Saccharomyces cerevisiae S288C: one gene and its partners. The protein of the gene in region 3 purifies or fractionates together with the protein of the main gene of each other region. This does not show direct contact. Each region holds a gene or a part of one and is shown on either strand. Other genes may lie near its edges.

The links.
Region 1: the proteins of PRP43 (region 3) and CLF1 purify together in Saccharomyces cerevisiae (affinity purification with mass spectrometry, with the first as the bait; 3 studies listed by BioGRID). This does not show direct contact.
Region 2: the proteins of PRP43 (region 3) and NSR1 purify together in Saccharomyces cerevisiae (affinity purification with mass spectrometry, with the first as the bait; one study listed by BioGRID). This does not show direct contact.
Region 4: the proteins of PRP43 (region 3) and NOP13 purify together in Saccharomyces cerevisiae (affinity purification with mass spectrometry, with the first as the bait; one study listed by BioGRID). This does not show direct contact.

Annotation. Positions count from the first base shown.
Region 1 is NC_001144.5:380,719-387,000, forward strand, and holds CLF1 (Clf1p), read right to left. Parts: upstream 3,817-6,282; coding exon 1,753-3,816; downstream 1-1,752. Other genes in the region: mRNA splicing protein MSL5, read left to right, coding at 104-1,534; TML25 (palmitoyl-(protein) hydrolase), read right to left, coding at 4,007-4,690; ESCRT-I subunit protein SRN2, read left to right, coding at 4,816-5,457; YPS1 (aspartyl protease), read right to left, coding at 5,793-6,282. UniProt on the Saccharomyces cerevisiae protein: Involved in pre-mRNA splicing and cell cycle progression. Required for the spliceosome assembly by promoting the functional integration of the U4/U6.U5 tri-snRNP particle into the U1-, U2-dependent pre-spliceosome.
Region 2 is NC_001139.9:805,589-810,670, forward strand, and holds NSR1 (Nsr1p), read right to left. Parts: upstream 2,069-5,082; coding exon 824-2,068; downstream 1-823. Other genes in the region: exosome non-catalytic core subunit MTR3, read right to left, coding at 1-433; RTS3 (Rts3p), read right to left, coding at 3,041-3,832; YGR161W-C (uncharacterized protein), read left to right, coding at 4,639-4,917. UniProt on the Saccharomyces cerevisiae protein: Involved in pre-rRNA processing. Specifically binds nuclear localization sequences. Candidate for a receptor at the nucleus that may be involved in both RNA and protein transport. Binds telomeric sequences of the type (TG[1-3])n in vitro.
Region 3 is NC_001139.9:280,110-286,538, forward strand, and holds PRP43 (DEAH-box ATP-dependent RNA helicase PRP43), read right to left. Parts: upstream 3,829-6,429; coding exon 1,525-3,828; downstream 1-1,524. Other genes in the region: mRNA-binding protein NAB2, read right to left, coding at 1-414; GPG1 (Gpg1p), read right to left, coding at 668-1,048; protein kinase COQ8, read left to right, coding at 4,333-5,838. UniProt on the Saccharomyces cerevisiae protein: Pre-mRNA processing factor involved in disassembly of spliceosomes after the release of mature mRNA.
Region 4 is NC_001146.8:305,247-310,249, forward strand, and holds NOP13 (Nop13p), read right to left. Parts: upstream 3,367-5,003; coding exon 2,155-3,366; downstream 1-2,154. Other genes in the region: TDA7 (Tda7p), read right to left, coding at 1-1,734; MDG1 (Mdg1p), read right to left, coding at 3,711-4,811.

The DNA of each region.
Region 1 (6,282 bases), on a different chromosome or scaffold from region 3:
TTCTTTTTCTGCTGAATTTCACCAAGCGGAAATTTTCAAAGCAGAATTTTTTCCCTAATTTGCTACAAGTGCTATTCTATCCCACAATAAAAGGAAATTGTTGATGAGTTTTAGAAGGATTAACTCTAGATACTTTGAAAATAGAAAAGGAAGCAGTATGGAAGAAAAAAAAGCAAAGGTTCCTCCAAACGTCAACCTTTCGTTATGGAGAAAGAACACGGTAGAAAGCGATGTCCATCGATTCAATTCTCTTCCATCAAAAATTAGTGGGGCCCTAACTAGGGAACAAATATACTCCTATCAAGTCATGTTTAGGATTCAAGAAATTACCATCAAACTGCGTACGAACGATTTTGTGCCCCCCTCCAGGAAAAATAGGTCACCTTCTCCGCCACCAGTTTATGATGCCCAAGGTAAAAGAACGAATACCCGTGAGCAGAGGTATAGAAAGAAACTAGAGGATGAACGTATTAAACTTGTTGAGATAGCCCTAAAGACCATCCCTTACTTCGTTCCTCCGGATGATTACAAGAGACCTACCAAATTTCAGGACAAGTATTATATCCCGGTGGATCAGTATCCTGATGTCAATTTTGTTGGTTTATTATTAGGTCCTCGTGGACGTACGTTAAGAAAGCTGCAAGAAGATTCGAATTGTAAGATTGCAATTAGAGGAAGAGGTTCAGTCAAAGAAGGTAAGAATGCAAGTGACTTACCTCCAGGCGCCATGAACTTTGAGGACCCCTTGCACTGTTTAATTATCGCAGACTCGGAAGACAAGATCCAAAAAGGTATAAAAGTTTGTCAAAACATTGTTATCAAAGCGGTGACATCTCCGGAAGGCCAGAATGACTTGAAACGAGGACAACTGAGAGAATTGGCGGAACTTAATGGTACTTTAAGAGAAGATAACAGGCCCTGTCCAATCTGTGGTTTAAAAGATCATAAAAGGTACGATTGTCCAAACAGAAAAATCCCAAATATACAGGGCATTGTTTGCAAAATATGTGGACAAACTGGACATTTCAGTAGAGACTGTAACTCATCGTCTCAAAGAATGAGCCGTTTTGACAGAAACGCCACGGTAAATAATTCTGCGCCAATACAGAGCAATGACGTACACTATAATAGCAATACTCATCCAATTCAAGCACCAAAAAGATCTCGTTATGACAATAACTCGACGGAACCTCCTTTAAAATTTCCGGCTTCTTCACGTTATGCACCATCACCTTCACCTCCTGCGTCACATATTTCGAGGCAAGCTCAAAACGTGACGCCTACACCCCCTCCCGGCCTAACATCAAGTAGCTTTAGTTCCGGAGTTCCAGGAATCGCCCCTCCCCCATTACAAAGCCCTCCAGAGTCGGAACAACCGAAATTTTCGCTACCTCCACCTCCCGGTATGACTACGGTACAATCCTCAATTGCACCTCCTCCTGGCCTAAGCGGTCCTCCAGGGTTTTCTAATAACATGGGCAATGACATTAACAAACCTACACCTCCGGGACTGCAAGGGCCTCCCGGATTATAATACACTCCCATTATACAATATCTGCATTTTTTTTTATTTGTGTTGAAGGTATGTAGTCTCTATTTTGCATAGTTCCTTTTTTTGTTGGTTTTTTGCCTTCCTGGTTATTATTAACTTTTGATATTTAATTTACTTACTAGCTTATTCTACTACTGTTTAGTTTCTACGGCCTGAACTACAATGACAAAAATATTATTTCACGATACCCTTACCTTTATTCAAAGTGCCTGTTCCTGTTTCCATTTTTTGGCTAGTTCCAAGAACTTTGATGGTTTTGGCTTGTCATCATCGATATCATCAGGAAAAATGTAATCCACGAATTCTTCTTCCACACCGTTCTGTAACCTCACTTTTTTGATTACTTTAGGGAATCTTTTCTTGACGGTTTCTTGATCGAGTTCAGTACCGTAAGTTTCTTCATAGTCTTTTAGCGCTTCCAAAATAGACAGTCTCCCTTGTTTATCATCCTTCTCCTTGAAAAAAACTATCGCCTCTTCAAAAACTTTTCTTGCCTCCAATTTATTCTCATCGGTAATTTCAAACTCTATGTCTTCATCCACATTTTCGCTTTGCAGTTTTGCTAAATCTAATAGTTGTTGCTCCGTCGGGGTTGAAGTTTGATACATGGCGAATTCGATCCAGCTTTGGGGGGAATATTGGTTGAGCTCCAAATATCTTCTATAAAGCTTCCTTGCCTTTTCAAATTCTTGTGATTCTGTCTCAAATGTTATGTATTTTTGAAGTAATACAATTTTAGCCTCCTTTGTTAAGAAATCAGAATTTTCATCTAGTGCAATTGTATATATACCTCTTACTCTATCCCAATCTCCTAAATTTTCTTCTAGTTCTCCATATTGTGACCAAATTTGTAGATCAGAGGGCTGAAATTCAATAAATTTCTCATATATTTTTCTCACACGATCAAATTCCTTCAACTTCACTTCCAACTCGATATATCCTTTGAAAGTTTTAGCCTTAGGACATAAACCGATTGCTTTACCCAAAATTTTTCTCGCCTTCGGTACATCATCATGTCGTATCAGAAATTTAGCATACATTAGCCATATTTTGGAAAAAGTGAAATGTTTATGAGGGATGATGTCGTCAATTAACCTCTGAAAAAGTTCTTCTTCTAAAAGCGAATTTTCCAATTCTAACTCAACATAGCATATATATCTCATCCACAGATAAATATACCTTTTCCACTGAACATTTTTTGATAGTTCTTTTGGTCGGCTGTCCACAATAGCTTTCTCGAAAGTTTGCATTATTTGTTTGGGGAAACTTTCTGAAATGAGATCCAAGTACAGCCACCAGGTGTCATAATCATAGGCGTTATTACTCAATATTGTTTCATACTCCATTTTCCTTTTATAGCTAATAGTTTCTTCTATTGAGTTTATGTCACCAAACTGCTTTTCAAAATCCAACAGTCCTGCCTTGAGCAATTGATTGGAGGGCCATTTTTCTATAGCAATTTGATAAAGAGCACTAGATCTTTCGTATTCTTGCTGCGCAGCTTCCCAATGAGCAAATGAATTTACTAATTTTGCAACCTCCATATCAGACCAAATCTGTAAATTTTGGAGGTTAGCTACTGTGTCTATCGCTAAAGAATACACACTTCTCGTAAATTCAGTATTACCATGTCTATTTTCAAACCTCACCCACTTTAGCCATGTCTGCATTTGCGGGTGAGCCATGACGTATTTTGAGTAAATCTCTCTTACACCGTTCCAGTTTTTCTGTCTTATTTCAAAATCCACGAAAGAATTCCATGCATTAACCCCTGGCTCCAAGGAGCACCATTTGGTGTACAGTGATCGTACAATTTCAACGTTGTTTAACGACTCTTCGACAATGAGATACTTGTACCATAACTTGTCTACTCTGGGCAACGTACTAATAGCTCTGTTCATAAGATTCCTAGCATGGTTAATACATTTGACTTTCAGCTCAGCATCAATGTATCGTATCCAAAGGGGGATGAATGAACTATCTACTAATAATGCTCTTTCAAAGATAGATCTGGCGCGCCTCATGTCGTGTTGTTCGATTTCGAATTGCGCATAACGAATCCATTGTCCCATATCCAGTCGGTTTCTCTTCAAATAACCCTCATATTCTGTTCTCTTCCTTCGTTGATACTCTCGAAGTTCCTCCAAGTCTAATATATCAATATTAGTCGATCCTCTTGCTTTTTGCCCCTTCTTGTACACATCCCGCAGAATCTGCTCCGCAGAAACATGCGTATCAACGGCTGTTGGCTCTAAAGTGTCCATGCTGGCAATAGTAGAGTACTTTTAGCTCAAGTTTGTCTATCTATTATGAACTTGCATAATCAATGAGTCTCATCACCCCAACTATTTGGCACCAAGGTTTTTAATTTTCTATCGCGTCTTACGGATGTATATAAATTATTTAACCAAGTATAATAGCGGTTAAATTGAACTCGCAATATTAGGAAAAGAGCTATGATGATAAGCTCTTCTTGATAAATGAAGCCAAGTCTTCTAATTCATCTGGAACTGTAGAATGGGCCATACCTTTGTATACTTTAAATTCATAATTTTGTATCTCACAGCTATCTTGATAGAACTGTTTTGCCTTTATACCTAGTCCAATAGGAACTACTGGATCCATGTCACCATGCCCATGAAAAATTGGTGTCTTTACATTAATGCCATTCTTATGTTGTTTCAGAATTCCTGGGATGGAACAAAATCCCGACAGAGCTACTATACCACCGATTTTCCATGGTAAAGTAACTGATGTTGCGAGAGCTAATGCGGCACCCTGAGAGAAACCTCCGATAATAATCTGCTCCGGTTTAATTCCTTTATCAATTTCTTGCTTAACCGTCTTTTCTATGGAATTCAAAGAATTCATAAAACCGTCACTGTCAACTTTGGAAAAACTAGGATCCCATTCCAAGATGTCAAACCAAGCAGGCATCAATGCACCGCCGTTTGCTGTCACATGAAGCTCTGGAGCATTAGGAAAAACAAAATTAGTATGCTGGAAAGCGGCAGGGTCTCTCTGTTGTAAATACTGAGCTAAAAATCCCCATCCCGAACCTGTATCACCTAATCCATGCAAGAATATGATAGTTTGGCGTGCTGGCTGAATTTTTGCTGCAACTCTAAGTCCATTCATATTCGATAGCGCTCAAATGGGCAAATATAGTGTATGTGTTCTTATTTTCGTTCTCTTTTGCTAACATTTTTATTTCATACAGAAGCCATTTTTCCCTAGAATAGGCGTTCTGAAAAGAAGGAAATATGAAAGTAAAGGCTACAAAACTAAGGATAAAACAACGAAGGAAAAATAAGGGGCTCAATATAAGCAGATTAGATATTATCAGAGCAGAAATGGATGTGGTACCATCTCCGGGTTTACCAGAAAAAGTAAACGAAAAAAGCAAAAATATTCCCTTACCTGAAGGAATTAACCTTTTATCATCAAAGGAGATAATCGATCTAATTCAAACCCACAGACACCAATTAGAGTTATACGTCACAAAATTCAATCCCTTAACGGACTTTGCTGGAAAGATTCATGCATTCAGAGATCAATTTAAACAATTGGAAGAAAATTTTGAAGATTTACATGAGCAAAAAGATAAGGTCCAAGCCTTATTAGAAAACTGTAGGATTTTAGAATCCAAATATGTAGCTAGCTGGCAAGATTACCATTCCGAATTTTCAAAAAAATATGGTGACATAGCATTAAAAAAGAAATTAGAACAAAACACAAAGAAACTTGATGAGGAGAGTTCACAGCTAGAAACTACCACAAGGTCCATTGACTCAGCCGATGACCTGGATCAGTTCATCAAAAATTATCTGGACATACGAACACAATATCACTTGAGGAGAGAGAAACTGGCGACCTGGGATAAACAAGGTAATTTGAAATACTAGTTCAGCAGCTACCGCCATTATCAATATGTACGTATATAGACTATACTTTATAGATTATTCTAGATGCCAAACGAATTATTAGAATATTAAAGCCTTTGATTATAGGCCATATCCCAGGTAAATAGTATACTAGGAATGAGAAAAAAAAATGTGAATAAATGGTAACCTATTCTTAGTGGGTAAGATAAACTATTGTGAAGTAAAAATGAAGACCGCCAACGTAACAATAAAAAATTAATAATAAAAAAAAACTTTGCCCAAGCGAGAGCAACGATTTCCGCCAGAAACTCCAACTGGCTTGGAGATGTGAATGTCTAAACTTTGTGCAACGGTTTTCAGATGAATGCAAAAAGAAGAGAAATTAATGTGAGGGGTAAAGATGGAACTATATGATCACCAACATTTCTTTTACTTGATGTAGAAGTGGCGGATGCAGTACTGGTCGTCAGGTTACCGCTAAAGGAAGCAGTTTGTGAGGAATTTACAGTAAATATGTTACCACCGGTAACAATAGATGCACTTGTGGACCAAGTGTTTGTATAGCCTGGTGCCTTTACGGCGCTTGGAACAGAGGATGTAATAATTTCGATATTTTCGCTTGTGGTATTATAGCGAGCTTGTGCCATGGATATTTCAAGATTCTCCAAATCATAAACCACGTACGCGTTAGTCAAAAATGAATCACCCAAAATGGTACCTGTGTCATCACTCGTTGGGATAATACCTAAAAGACATGTAGTGCCAGTACTCAAGATAAAACTCGAAAGTGGTGCATTGATGTGAAAACCACCAAAATCGAACACTATTTCCATACTATCATCAGAT
Region 2 (5,082 bases), 520 kb from region 3:
TATCATACGTTAAATAAACGAAGATATCGATGCCGGACTTGGGGTAGCGAGATAGGTTTACTACTGAATTGAAAATGCCCATTAAAAAGCTGCTAACTTCCTTCAGTTCATTTGTGTTATATTTTTCCAGAAGACCGTTCTTTAACTGAATAGATATAGTACCTTGAGATGTGAAGGATCCTCTAATGGAGCGTGGTCCATAGACAGCGGTAATGAGCGATGTTTGGTGTCCTAAGCTTCTAGCTTCTACTAATGCAGATCCATTGCAGTTTTCGATGAAACCGGTATGTAGAGAAAGTTCCTGTTCACTTTCATTGCCTTTAGGTGTCAAATCTGTTGATTTCTTTTCTGGCACATGAGTAGTAGTGTTGCTAAACGCCATTGGCTTGGCAGCAGCAGGGCCTAATAACCTCCTTCTGTCTTGAACATTCATTTATTCTGATAACACCTTAATGTGAGTATGTTCCTACTTTTAAGTGGAGTATGTGCTAATCCTTAAAGGAAGTTTTCGTGGCTCAATCAAGCACAACGCCCAAGCTTTTATTTAGATATTCATTTCATATTACTGAAATTTTTTGAGTATTTTCCAAGGCCTTGTAATCTTCCGTATCTAGCGATCTCATCTCATCGTGAAAAAAAAAAGAGTAAGCCATTCGAAGAAAAGTTGGCAAATAGAGATGGTGAATGAAAGGTTTAAGAATGTATCCTATTTACTTACTAATGTACACAAAATATTATAGACCAAATTTTTCCTCAAAAATGGAATATAGTAATTAACGTAAAAAGAGAAAAAATTGAAATTGAAATTCATTTCATTTTCTCATTAATCAAATGTTTTCTTTGAACCAGCGAAAGAAGCGGTATTTCTTGATCTGCCCAATGGAGCAGTATTAGCACCAGAACCAGATGGTCTGAAACCGCCACGGCCACCGCGAGCGCCACCACGACCACCGAATCCACGGTTACCGCCACGACCACCGCCACGACCACCAAAACCACGGCTACCGCCACGACCACCATCGTTGTTTGGTCTTGGAGAAGAGAAGTCTAATCTAACTGGTCTGTTGTCAATGTATTCACCTTGTAAAGCGTCTAGAGCCTTCTTGGCGTCCTCCATGTTGGAGAATTGAACATAACCGAAACCTTTTGGTTGTTCAGTTTCTGGATGTGTTGGGATACGGACGGAAACAACTTCACCGTGTTTAGCGAATAATTCGAAAATAGCGTCTCTGTCAGCATTGAAAGATAAGTTACCCAAGAACAAAGTGTCAGATGGTTCAGATGGGGTATCACCGAATTTCTTGGCACGATCGTTGTTACCAGCTGGCTTGCTTGTGGACATATCACAGTTGATTGGTCTACCATCAATTTCCTTACCTTGCATTTCTTGAATGGCCTTTTCAGCATAAGATTTGTTTTCAAAATCAACGTAACCATAACCACGAGATCTATCGGTACCTCTTTCATAAATAACTCTGGCACCAATGACACCACCGATGTGTTCGAATTCCTTCTTCAACCATTCGTCATCAATAGACCACGATAGTCTACCAACGAAAATAGTAGCTGGTTCTTCGGTTTCTTCATTTTTTTGCTTCTTGTTGGAAGACTCTTCGTCTTCTTCTTCTTCGGCGTCCTCAGATTTACGTTTCTTATCGTTAGACTCTTCCTTTTCGCTTTCGCTATCAGAAGATGAAGATGAGGATGAATCAGAGCTAGAAGATTCTTTTGATTCTTCCTTCTTGGTTTCTTCTTTTTCTTCTTCTTCTTCTTCGTCGGAAGAAGAGTCAGAGGAAGAGGAAGAGGAATCCTTGGATTCTTCCTTCTTGGTTTCAGCTTCACTTTCGCTGTCAGAAGACGATGAAGAAGAGGATTCAGAATCAGAGGATGAAGATGAAGATGAAGATTCAGATTCAGACTCAGACTCAGATTCAGATTCAGATGAAGATGAAGATGAGGATGAAGATTCGGAGGAAGAGGAAGAGACGGCCTTAGCTTTTTCTTCTTTGGCTTGTTTGGAAGCCTTAACTTCCTTCTTGTTACCTTTTACTTTAGTAGTCTTAGCCATCTTATTTTATCCTGCCTGGGTTGAGTGATCCGAAATTGGTTAACAGTTCGTCTTTGGGAAGCAAAAGTAAGAAAAATACTACGAAAGGAAATAACTTAAGGTACCAATGGATTGGGAAGTGCAGACAGCAACAGCTACACTTAAGTACTTTTAATATTGGATTGAAAATTTTCGTTCTTGCGATGAGCTGCCCTTGCAAATTTTTCACCAAAAAAAAAAAAAAAAAAAGAAATGGAGTGAAAAAAGAAACGAAAAAAAAGGGCATGGGGACCCATACATCAGGCACTTACCCCCAGGAAGGATTACGTCTTTAAATCAGAGGATCAAAGGGTAATTAACAACCACCAGTCGAATTGCTGTCGTCTTTCTTCAATTGCTTTATCCAAAAATCTGAATGGATGTAAGTATTGCCCAGTAAGTTTTCTTGGCAAAATAACCTATAGCGAAATAGACAATCAACGTGATGGGGTTTAAATAGCTAGCGGTAAGTAACCACTAGTAGAACGTAGCTCCATAGCGTGTAATTTGGCGGCAAAATATGTGAAGCAAGCATATTCGTTATTACTTAGCTGCCTGTGAAATCCTGTCTGTGCCTTCTCTTTGCCTTTACTTTGTATAAAAACATATCAACACTGTCTCTGCGTATGAGGCCGAGGTATTTAGAGCATAAGAAAAAATGTGAACAAAAATAGTGTCATCTCCAGTAAGGCTTAAATGTATATTGATTTTCTATATATATATATATATATATATATATTTATGAAATAAACCATATAATTATAAGTAGTAGCTTGGAAAAACGCCAAAGTTGTACTTAGAATGAGGTTTTAAAAAAAAATTATAAAAAAAAACCAAGCGAGAAGTCACGCTTATAACGCAAGTGCACGAACTGCATATGTGTTGGATTGCCAAAGATCAATAGGAAGAATATATTTAGAGAAACTCTGTTTTCTTATGTATCTCGCTTACAGCCTATTTCAATGAACCAGTTTGGAATCTCTTTGCCATGAGATCAGCCTTTAAAGAGTTTGAGCCATCGAGACTGTAATTGGAAGAACGCCTTCTCCTGTCATGAAGAAGAGCACCGGATTCGGTTAAATCGCTAGACGAAATGCCGCTTAGAGAACGTGGAAGAAGAGTGTGATGTGGAAGATCGGCGGAGGGAAGGTTTCTGTTTGTTGTTGGTGCTGAGTGGATTTTAGTCTCAATGGGGAAAATCGTGTCTGAGATGCTTGTTCCGTTAGATATGGAAGCGTTCCGGCTTGACCTTCTGGCGGAATGGGAAATGTGGGTCATGGAGTCCTTGGGTGTTAAGGGAAGTACGGTGTGTCTGGATGCACCATCTGTGAGCTTTAGCTTTGGAGTGTCGAGGGTGTAACCATAATTGCAGTCATCATCATCTAGGATGGCAGACTCGCCTTCGAAAAATGGAGACGACCTTCTAGCCGGGACCGGATGGTGCAGTTGATTTTTTAACCTAGAGTTTTCTTCTTTTAAAGTTTCAATTTCCCGTAGAAGTCTTACTACAATAGCGTCTTGCTCCTTTTCCATTTCGTTTATTATTTCTTCCCTCGAAAGCCTTCTCTGTGCTGACATTGGTGACGAAGAAGGAGACGACGACGTCGAAAGTCTGCGAGGATCACGTGCTACAGCTGGTCTCATGGCTCTTGTAACTGAAGTTTGTCTCTCTCTGCATGGTTTGGCAACAGCCTTCTTGTGTTTTGATTCTTTATTCATGTTTACGGCTCTGGAGGTAGCGATCATTATACTTTATCTTCTATTAATGCTATGATTGATGAATTATACGTATGTATGTATCTGTAAGAAAATAGCCGAATGATTGATTATCTTTTCTTATATATGATTCAAGGGAACGAAAAGAAGACAAGATAATGTTAGGCAAGATAGTTTTTTAGACGACTGAGGCCGAAGATAAGCTTTATATATATGCAAGTCTATTTTTGTACGGGCGAAACCATCTAAGCCAACGATAACAATAGCCAGCTATGATCGTTGAGTACAGCGTGGGGCAATTTTTAGCGTGATTGATAAGGGCGCATTATCTCATCATCCATCGCCAATTTGGGACTCTAACGGCAAACCTCGGATTTCCGTGGAAACGCATGGAAAAATTGATCCGGGCTGTGAGGGGAGTCGAGTCAGTCACTTTTTGGCAACTCTCTCCGTCATGACCACTACTCCGCGGTAGCTGCCAAATTTGGTATTTCCAGGTTGTTTTTTGTGGACAGCCCGCGATCATATGTAAGAGCAGGATGTGTCATCCGCGGGTGAGGTAAACGCTGGCTTGCCATTATGGTTTTTTGGTACGTGTTGAACACGTTGCTTACGATCTTGGTAGGGGCGGGCTGTGATGTGAGAGCCACAAACCCGCTTCCTCGTTGTGGCTCTGGCGCTCCGTTTCTTCTTTCCCCCGCCTTGTAATATGTCGTGCATGCGTCCATGATGATATCGTATTTATTGTATATTGTGGTGATTTCGGCATATTTTAGCACATCTGTAGTATACCACAGAGCTAAAACAACCGATTATAGTCAACATTATACAGCATTATGTCTGGATACTTCAACCATCTTTCTTCGAATGCACATTTCGCAAATATTCAAGCCGATCAGGGCTTCATAGGTGATGCTACTGGCACAAGCAGCGATCATGGCAGTAGTGGCATGGTTGATTTTGCCCTACAACTCGGAGAACTGAGCCTAGAAGAGAAAATACTTAAAGAGTTCACCTTATTCCAGAGCAAGAACATGGACTTATTGCAAGAGACGGCGACGGCGTGTCCGAGTACTAATCCTTCCTTGAGACAGAGCCGAATTCAAGGCTGGTGAACGCCTGATGCGAGCTATACGTTTTGTGCTCACCGTGCACATATGGTGGCTACTTTTCTACTCAAACACGTTTGAAAAACGGCATACGATTAGCTTACAGATTGAACTCAAAGAAGTCGCAATGGGAGGTGCAGAAGATGACGTGTTACTTAGTTTATAATACAA
Region 3 (6,429 bases):
CTGTTGAGGTTGCTGTTGAGGTTGCTGTTGAGGTTGCTGTTGAGGTTGCTGTTGCGCGATGTCTGGTTGCTGTTGTTGTTGTTGCTGTTGTTGCTGTTGTGCGATATCCGATTGTCCCAAGCTTTGCGCATTCATCATTCTAATTTTGGAAACAATATTTTCAGCACTTTCTCCCTGTTGCAGAGCTTCTAATGCGAAAAAGGCTGTTTGAACAACATTTGCAAGCGTATCTCTCGAAACACTATCAAACAAACTAGCCAGCTCGTCTACGACAGATTCAACAGTACCACCGTTAACGATCAATAAGACAATATACTCCGCAACATACTTGATATCTTCGTTAAAGTTTGGTATACCAGCCAGTTTTTCGGCAACGATAACCTTCAAGTTTTCTGTGTACTGTTCTTGAGACATTTCTGATGTACTTCCACTTCCTTATGATCAGAGATAATTAGAAACCACTATATTTAGATGTTTTATGGAAGTATTTGGAAGAAAGATGTGTAAAATTTTGTATTTTTCCCATTTGCCACCAGCGAAGCGAATATCACTATTTCCCCGCTTCGTATTTTGTGTAACGATGTACGAGAATACAACAATGTTTATATAATTGTATATGAATGTTCTCTTCACATTAAACTCTGTGTATAAGGTCGCGTTGAGCAAGCTAGTGATAGAACCTTCTCCTAGGATACATAGAAAGAGTGTCATCAGTTCTTGTTAGCTCTTCTTGTAACTGTGTGAACAAATCGTCGATGTCCCAGTCCAGTTCTGACATTTTCATTGAAAGCACATCCCTATATAAACGTCTCGCCTGGTTCCTTTTTTCTAGCAAAAGTGCTAACAAAGATGGCAGTGTTGTGGCAGTAACTTCCCTTGATTCAGGCTCAATTTTGTAATGAACCACACGATCGGTAAGTGTGTGCAACTCTCCGACAACGGTGACGAGGTTTTCTTGAGTATTGGAGAATAACAAAACTTCCCAGAAATTATAAGTTGGTTCAGCCCCAGCCGAGGCTTCTTCCTCGATGTCACTTAGATAAAACATGATTGCTACTTAAAAGATTTCTTATCTTCTCTGTAGTTCAAATTAGATAGTGGAAAATAAGTTTTCTTAATATACAGATATATGCGGTTTACCCCAAAACTACTTTGATGGGAAGCCAACATCCTCGTTGAAATTGAGTGATTAATTTCGTTGCAAGAGTAAGATGCTCGTTTTAAGCATCGTTAAAGGAGTAATTTACCTTTACGGTAATCTTTGCCATTTTTAAGGGAACTTCCTCACACCGCGGTTTGTTTCTTTATTTGTTCTTGTAAAAACACCTCGAAGGGAATATAGGATGTGCTCTATATAGACATACCCAACAAAAGAAAAAAGCTTCTTTTTGATACAGGGCGCTATGATTTTAGTACAAGCAGCTTTAGGTTACGTGTACCTATTTCTAGTTGAATTTTCTCTCTATGAAATAGTCCTATAAATTTATATAAATCTATTTTTTTTTTTTTTTCGACACAAAATGTCTATTTCTTGGAGTGCTTACTCTTCTTTTTGTTTTTACCTTGTTTCAACTCGTTTAATCTATCAACTTTTTCCTTGATCCTTTCCAAAGATAATTTGACATCACCTTTTTGGAAATTGCTTAAGTCGTAGTATGCAGGCGCTATTTCAATCAGCCATTCGGGCCTGACCGAGGTCACAGTTCTTATGTAGTTCTTCGATGTGAGCACAAATTCATTGTAAATGACCCATTCTGCGTCGTGGCCAAGAACCGTACTAGGATGGATCAGAACATCTTGGTTATCTTTAACTGTGATGTATCCTTTAGCTCCCGATCTTTTTTTTGCTACTTGCATGAAAAACCCAGACGCAAGAGCCTTTCTGATGTTGTCAAAGTATTTAGGGCTTTCATAGTCTGTAGTGTTTAATTCTAGGTTGTAACGGTTCATTAATCTTTCTAATTGGGAGCGGATATTATCAGCAGCGGAAAGGGACCTGTAATTTAGATAGTGGTCACGGCACCACTTATGGATACCATATTCATAAGCTTCATCCGATTTGAACGCATGATATACATTTAGTAAGGTGATATGATCACCGTCTGGATGAGCAAAGATATTCTTGGCATCATCTGCTCGCTTCTTGTCCTTTGTTGGGCGAATAAACACGTTTGGAACCGATAGCATGGCCACTATAGTTAGTATTTCTTGAGAACATTGGAACTCAAAGGACCCAATTAACATCACCGCTAGCATAGGATCCAAGGGAAACTGGGATGCCAATCTACCTAGGGGTGTTAAGTTACCTTCGTCGTCCAGACATGCCAAATAATTTAGTTCTTCAAGGGCTCTCATCATTGTTTCCGGAGCCGGTGGATCCATAAAATCGAAATGGACCAAGTCATCAATACCTAATTTTTTTAGTTCTAGAACGGTGGAGGATAAATTGGAACGTAAAATTTCTGGGTAACTTTGCTCTATCAGTTCCTTTTGGAATGCCTCTTCAGTGTATAATCTGAAACATTTACCAGGCCTTGTACGACCAGCACGACCAGCTCTTTGTTGGGCAGAAGCCTTGGAGATAGGGGAAACAAGTAAAGACTCAACTCTAATTCTTGGATTGTAAACTTTTTGCTTTGAAAATCCTGGGTCAACGACGTAGACAATACCATCAATTGTTAAAGAAGTTTCAGCGATGTTCGTGGAGATAACAACTTTCCTGCCTGGTCTACCATTATGTGACTCTGGAGCAGGCTCGAATATTCTTTGTTGTTGATGCGGTGGTAATGAACCATACAGTGGGTATACGGATAAAGGTCCGCATCCCTCTTCTCTAACCAATTGATCACCTTCTAAGGAAATCTTTCTGACAGCGTCTTCAATTTCATCTTCACCAGTTAAAAATAACAAAATATCGCCAGCCTCTTCAGTGGCATGAATTTGCAAAACAGTACGAATGGCAGAATCTAAATAGTCCCTTTGAAATTCCGGTGTATAGTATAGCTCAACTGGATATGTTCTGCCCGGAACGGCAAGTAATGGAGCATCGTTGAAGTAGCGTTGGAACTTCTCTGCATCCAGAGTAGCAGACATAATAATTATCTTCAAATCAGGTCTCCTCTTGACTACTTGCTTCAAAAGACCCATCAAAATATCAGTAGCTAGTGTACGTTCGTGCGCTTCATCCAGAATGATACATGAATAACGCGACAAGTCATGGTCTTCCATTGCCTCTCTCAACAACATACCATCAGTCATATACTTCAATATCGTTTTATTAGAAGTTTTATTTTCGAATCTGATAGAATAACCAACTTCTTCGCCCAACTTGACATCCATTTCCTCAGCAACTCTCTGTGCAACAGACATTGCTGCGACACGACGAGGTTGAGTACATGCAACTTGAGTGTTCTCTAAGTGTGGCATCTCATCGAATAAAACGAATTGAGGAATTTGTGTCGTTTTACCGGAACCTGTTTCACCAACAAAAACCATAATCTGGTTATTTTGATAAAGTTTTAAAAACTCATCTCTCTGGGCATGTACTGGCAATTCTCTTCTAATTTTCAGGATATCAACATATTTTGGTGTAAACTCCCTACCGGTAAATGGATTTATTTTTCCATCTTCAAGTTTTTGGGCCTCTTCTGCTGAAGTATGGTGACGTTGCAAGCCCTTGAATTCACCAGCATCATGATGGACAAGTGGCTCTTCGGATGGAAGAGGATGCTGTTTGGATAATTCTTCCGCAATCTCGGCGGCCTGCTCAGGAATAGAGGTCTCAACTGGATCCGGGTGTTCGGACGAGAATCTTCTTTTGGAACCCATTATTATTCTTGCAGTCCTAATCTTTCTATGCGCGTTTATAAGGTTATACTATCGTTACTCAATCGCATCCCCGTAAACGTGTTAAATATTACAATTGAATAAGTTTCTTTTCACCTCATCTCGCATTTGAAAATTTTTCAGAGGCACCGAAAAAAAAGAAAAAGAAATAAAAAAGGACTTGTGTATAAGATCGCTAGATCAATAAAAAGCAATCTGGTAGATTTATGGGACTCCGAAATGATACTGTCAGTTGAAACAGCAAACGAATACAGAGCGTAAAACTAAACGACCTTAGTTTGGAAAATGATGAAATTTGTCCATAACTATATACTATCAGTCAGCAAACTATGATCCGGGTAATATTCATTTGTAAAGCTTTAGATCTGTAATAGTACCCAGTACTTTTTTAGATGATCTTAATTAGTTAAGATCTTTCTGGTACTGTACTCAGTACGCTTCCTTGGCATCCTTATTGGGACCTGTTCGGCTAAGATATCGTTCGATATGGTTACAAATATGGTGAAATTGAGGAATTTAAGGAGATTGTATTGTTCATCCCGTCTCTTAAGAACTATACAGAACGGGAGAATTTCTTCTGTTTCTTCAATATCGTTGAGTAAGAAATATACTACAAAATCTGCCAAAGAAGGTGAAGAAAACGTAGAAAGGAAGCATGAGGAGGAAAAAAAGGATACATTAAAAAGTTCCAGTGTACCAACTTCACGAATATCGAGATTGTTCCATTATGGCTCACTGGCAGCAGGGGTGGGCATGAATGCCGCAGCAAAAGGCATATCGGAAGTTGCAAAGGGCAATTCTCCCACTTGGAAATCTTTGATTCTATCAGATTCGAATATTGACAGAATTACCAATAAATTTTCTAAAATGAGAGGTGTTGCCCTTAAAATAGGGCAACTATTGTCTTTTCAGGATGAGAAAGTGTTGCCAAAGGAATTATACGAAATTTTATCAAGGGTACAGAATAGTGCAAATCATATGCCTCAAAGGCAATTGGAAAAGGTTATGGCCAAGGAATTAGGTGCTAATTGGAAGACAAAGTTTTCCAAATTTGACAAGATACCTATGGCAGCTGCTAGTATCGGACAGGTACATGCGGCAGAGTTGCCCAGTGGTCAAAGAGTGGTTGTCAAAATTCAATATCCTGGGGTTAAAGAATCCATTGATTCGGATTTGAATAGTTTACTAATGTTACTTACAGCCTCAAGTTTATTACCGAAGGGATTATTTTTGGATAAGACAATTGCCAACGCTAGAACTGAGTTAAAATGGGAATGTGATTACAACAGAGAGGCTAGAGCTCTACAAAAGTTTGAGGCGTTGCTAAAGGATGACCCAGCGTTTGAGGTTCCTCATGTGTTTCCTGAATATACAACCGATAATATTATAACTATGACACGTATGGAGGGAACTGAAATAATGAAATTGCCCAAGGCATCACAAGAAACCAAAAATTTTATTTCGGAGAATATCATGAGACTATGTCTGGAAGAAATTGCCACTTTCAAGTATATGCAAACGGATCCTAATTGGGCAAATTTCCTCTATAACGGTAGGACAAAGAAAATTGAATTATTGGATTTCGGTGCCTCCAGACCTTTTGCAGAAGATTTTATTCTAAAATATAGAAAACTTTTAACTTACGCCACATTGAGAGATAGGAAAGGGGCGTACGAAATGTCTGTACAACTGGGCTATCTCACAGGCTTAGAATCGCAGTCCATGAAAGACGCGCACGTCGATAGTGTACTTACACTTGGTGAACCTTTTAGGGGTGATGTAGATAAATCTTTCGATTTCAAGGATCAAACAGTCTCAGACAGGATTAGAGGTAATATCGGGTTAATGTTGAATGAAAGACTATGTCCGCCACCAGAGGAAACATACTCGTTACATAGAAAATTTAGTGGCATTTTTCTTTTGTGTGCAAGAATGGGTGCGTCTGTTCATTGTGCAAAGCTTTTTAAAGAGATTTTTGCCTATAAAGTTTAAAATACTTCCCCGCTATTTGTATATATGCATATCTTTATATTATGAAAGATATTTTTTTATTTACTTTTAGTCCGTATACTTTTATTTTGTTTTGTTAGACAATCTCGAAGAACAAAAAAAAAAGATAAAACAGAAAGATAAATGTGCACTCTTTTGTACCTCGTTCTGCTATAGTACTTCCAACCAGATCGACTGAAAGATTACTAGTATATACGTCATGTTTTTAAATAGTAGTTCCCATTCTGCTTCAGTGAATTAGATATTTTTTTCCAATCATTCTCTTTAAACCCTCTGCGATAGTGATCCAACATTTTCTTAGCAACGCTAATCCTTCTGCCAATAGCTTCTCAAAATATACACCATTAACTTTACAACATTACATAATATGACATTCCACAGAACCTCTCTATTCCATTTTACCCCATTTCAAATTACTTTTTAGTCTTTGAATTGGGTCGCTTCCTAATTATAGAATTATTTTTCTCTGTAAAGTCCCAGCCTTGTTACAATACAATTGTACATCATTCATGAGAGATGAATATAATCTGCATTTCTTGTTCTAAATTGAATATGTATCTTTGAAAATACTCT
Region 4 (5,003 bases), on a different chromosome or scaffold from region 3:
TCTGTTTTCCTGGTCCATGAAATTACTCCGCATATTTTGAAAGGAGCCATTCATTGCGGTAACATTCCTTGGTGGTGGCACTGGAGGAGGATTTCCTCTTGCCTTAAAATTGAATTCGTTGCTGAACGGATTATTAGCAGAAGCAGTCTCGGTGTTTCGTTGCTGTGATCCCGAGTCTTGAGCTTGAAGTGACGCCTCTTTTGCTTGGGCAGTTGTTGGGAATCCCGTTCTGCGCCCAATCTCGTGACAGAAGGAATCGTTTTCCTTGAAATGCCTCTTTGCCTTCCTTTTTCTAACCAGCATGAACCAAACTACTAGTACACATATAAGAATACCACCGACGCTTCCTACCACACTTCCAACAATGGTACCAGTATTTGTCTTTGAAGTGCCTTGGTTTTTGTTATTATCCAAACTGCCATCAAGCCAGTGCTGATAGAAAGACATGTCAGCTGTGATCGTCGAAGATGGAGCGGAAAATGAGGTTACCTCACTTTTTGCAACTGCTATGGTCGTAGGTAATCCCGTCACGAACGTTGTAGAGGAGTCAGTAATATCATATGTTTGGGTATAGAAATAATAAATAGTTTTTGAATCTTCGGAGCTTGAAATGGCTACCGTATTGAAGACCTGACTGGATGTTGGTATGGGAGACGTAGAAATCGTACTAGTGCTGGGTGTTTGAGTGGTGGGTGGTATACTGCTGCTAGTAGTAGATTGTAAGGACTGAAAAGTATACGTGCTTGAGTAAGCACTTGTTGTATCATCTGATGATGATGATGATGAAGGACGGTTTGAAGGTACTTTACTGCTGGATGAGCTAACAGAACTTGACGTTGGCACGGAAATCGTGCTTATGGAAACTGTCGAAGATGAAGCTGATGGACTGAGTTTCGATGATTTGCTTATGGTTGAAAAATCGTTCGTCGATGAAAGCGATGAACTGTAAAACGATGTGGAAGTATTCCGACTGGAACTTGGGAATGTGGTATCTTTATTTGATATCGTAGAAGGAGAAGAAATTGTTGAGAACCAACTAGAAGAGAGTTCTGAAGTGGTACTAATTTGAAATGAAGTTGCAGATATGGAAGACAAGTATGTGTAACTAGGGGATATTACGGTGGGTGTTGATGGTGAGAAAATAGAAGATCTGCTGTCGAACGAAAACAATTTAGTGTCTGAATATGATGAAGATAGTGATAATGACAACGAGGACGATACCAGTAACGAAGATGGTGATGATAACGACGACCATGATGATGACAGCGATGTAGCTGATGACGATAACGTTGGTGTTGTTGATGTTAACGATGACCATTCCGACGTTATTGACGACGATGATGACATTGGTGACGTCGATGAGAAAATGGACATGGATGGTGTAATTATTGAGTATGAGGAGGTAGCTGGGTCATATTGGGAACTATACGTATCTTGCTCGCTCGATGAACTGCTGTCGGTAGATGATACTAAAGTACTTGTCGAAGATACATCAATGGATGTATGCAAAGTCTCATCATATGTTAAGCTTGTAGAATAATATGTAGGAGTAGCTGTACTAGACACGGGCGGTAATGAGGTCAGACTTCCTTGTTGGGGTACTAAAGTTGAAGTAGATGCGAAGACAACATCCGTTGATCGTGAATTCAGACTGCTACTTGGTTCACTGAATGACAGGGATATCGTATCAGATTCTCCAAGGGTGGTCCTTCCGATGGTACTATTGGAGTTCATACGATGGCCAAAATAATTACTCTATCCAGCTTTTCTTTTAGATTTCCTTCAGATATCGACGGATGGGGATTGAAATACTAAATGTGTGTCTTAAGCGAAAGTGTGCCAACAACCAGTCCAAAAAACGGATCAGTAGTGTTTCGGTACCTGGTGAGTAGTTTAGGATTTTATGAGTGTACGGCGATTATCAGTGTATTACTAATATGCGAACCGCTCCTAAAGATCTTGTTTACCTCATTTCTTTCTTCTTTTTTTTTTTTTTTTCCGTGCGTTCTCCCCGTGCCTTGATAAGCAATAATGGAAAAAATAAAAATAGCAGCAATTGGTTATACAATGTATATATAAAACATGAATGATTGAATAATTTACAAGCGAAATAATCGCATTATATACGTGGCACCTACAGTCAGTTCACGCTGATTAGTCAAACTTCACTTTCTTACCTTGTGATGGGACAATAGCTGCAGAACCTCTCTGAGCAGTGGCTAAAGCTACACTGCTCTTAGTTCGGTTATTGGAATCTACAGGTGGACGTCTGTTGGCGTTGGACCGCTTGTATTCGGGTTTGCTGCCGTTATCCTGTCCCGCACGATCGTATCCTTTGTTGTTAGAGATATCAAATGATGAGGAATTGTTTCTGGATACATTTTCAACCTTCTTACGAACTTGTCTTTTACTTCTATCTTCACCGTATTCCATTCGCAATGGCCTTCCGGCAATTTTTCTACAACTTTTATCCTTTAATGCATTAGTAGATCCTTCTTCATTCTTGAAGTCGATAAATGCGAATCCTTTACATTTACCACTATCTTCGAATGTTGCCATGCGGATTTTCACGATATCACCACAATGTTGGAAGTGTTTTCTTAACAGATCATCTGTGACATCGAATGACAAATTACCGACAAATAGAATCCTTGACGGTGGATTTTTGGACATGGCAACTAAATCGTCCTTGTCTGGCCTACCTGAATAATTTTCGGAGTCCTTGATTAGCATATTCCTTCCGTTTAAATGAGATTCAGATAATTCTAAGACCGCTTTCATCTGCTCGACGTTCTTGAAAAACATGTAGCAAAATCCCTTATTTTTCATGGCGTTAGAGTTCTTGGCAGCAACACGAGGCATGGATAACCTGGTTATGTCTTGTTCGGTGACTCTGCTCTTTTCATCTTCGTTGTCTTTTGTTTTAGCAATAAAAAATCTTACTAAATCGTCCTTTGTGGTGTCGAAGGATAAGTTACCAATCCAAACACCATATTTATTTTCATCTTTCTTCTTCTTTTTTACAACCTCGCCAGATTCATCTCCTGTTGGAGTGTTGATTGTAGATTCTTCACCCTGGGCGTCTTTCTCAGAAGCACCAGACTTTTTCTTTTCAGCATCTTCTTTGTATTCCTCGATTGACTTAGGGTCGATATTGTACTTCGCATTCAACTCCTCTAGAGTAACTTTACCTCTTCTCAAGAGACGTTTCTGTTTTTTTGATAGGGGAATGGAGCTTTTCAGGTCAATCTCAATTTCATCTTCAGCTTTTCTCTTTTTTGTTGGATCGAGTAAAGCCTTCTTGACTTGTTCCTCGTTATCCTTTTTTGTAACAGCATCTTCTTTCGACAGTTCTGTTTCTGACATTCTATCTCAAATTATAGAAAGTTGTTGGGTTTAGGTAATGTTCTGTGGGGAAAAGGATTTCTCTTTGTTGTATGGTTAAATTTATCATCTATGCTCATCGCAATTTTTTCTTTCAGACTGAAAAATTTCAGGTTTTTGCATTTCAACGGGAAACGTGACTCCTACAGAATTTTCTGAGCAAAGGCGTACAAGCGAAATACAAAGACAAGCATGTGCTTTCGGCAAAAGTGCGATCCTACATCAGAGTTTACATACAACATGGTATTGTTATTAATACATAATTAGGTTTTACATAGTTAGGTATGGCGAGTACGTCATATATTTAGGTATTCTCCTGATTGTTTTCACTTCAAAAGCTGGGCCAACTTTTTAAAGAACCCTCCATTCTTAGCAGGGTTCTTTTGGACACCTTTATTTGGTGTTTCTTTCGTGCCCTTAGGTTTCGAAGGTCTAGTAGCTTTCTTAGCTTCGATTTTTTTTGCGGCAGCGGTAGGAGCGCCCTGTTTCGTCTCGTAAGTTTGAGTCTCAGTCGCAACCTTGCCGGTTGGTTTCACAGAAGTCTCTTTAGCATGGCTTGTAATTGAGCTTACAGGTACTTTTTCTTCCGGTTTTTCAAATTTAGCGGATTTACTTAATGGTTCCTTATTTTGATCTTCTGAAGCTTCAGCGTCTGCACTTGTACTGGTGTCCTTACCGCCGCCTTTATCTTCGTCCTCTTCCTCTTCTTCCTTTTCAAGATCTTCGGCCGATAGTTCATATAATCTAGACTCAGAAGATTGCGTCTTACCCAAACCGTCCGTAACATATCCTTCACTCTTAACTAGATTAACTTTGGGGTGATTCTCTTCATACGGCTTGATTGCTTTTTCCTCGTTTACACCAACATTATTCTCAATTATCGTTGTAGTACCGCTTAAGCCATCCGCATTCTTGCCCGTTTTGTTCACCTGCTGGGTTTCATCCTCGCTATCGGGCAATTCAACCACTTCTTGGGAAAATATCGACCTTTCTCCGGTTTGTTTATTTGTCTTGATCACTCTCTTGATCTTGAACTTTCTTAATTTTTTTGCACGTTTTTCAGCTTCTGGTTCGATAAGAGGGGCATTCTTTGAAACAGCTAATCCGGCACTTTCAGGTACCAGCGTGCTAGAGCCATTTTCGCGTTGCTTTATTACGTCTTCCTCGGTAATAAAGTTGTTTTCCACTCCCTCGTCGATGTTCACCTTGTAGTCTTTGCTTGGCAGCCATTGGCCATCAACAATAAACTTGAAATAAAACTTGCTGCTAGGGCTATCAAACGTTACTGGCAGCGTTATTTCGAAGGCGCCACTGGGGTCCTTCACCATCGGCAAAGTACCTTTCCAGTCGTCGAACGTGCCTGTCAGAATAATTGCTTCGGGTCCTTTGGGCCATTTGAACGTAAATTGAGGTAAGCTCGATTGCATTCTAGAAACACTTTCCCTTTAATATTATCTTATAATGCTTAGAAAGTTAAATACCATCAAGAGAAAGAAAATTAGGTAATACAGAGGACAGAAGGACAGAAGTCGTTTCTATATTACATAAAAATCGGCCACCTTTTATTTTTTTAAACCACAAGAGAGGGGGAGAATGATGGATGTAAAACCTTAACCATG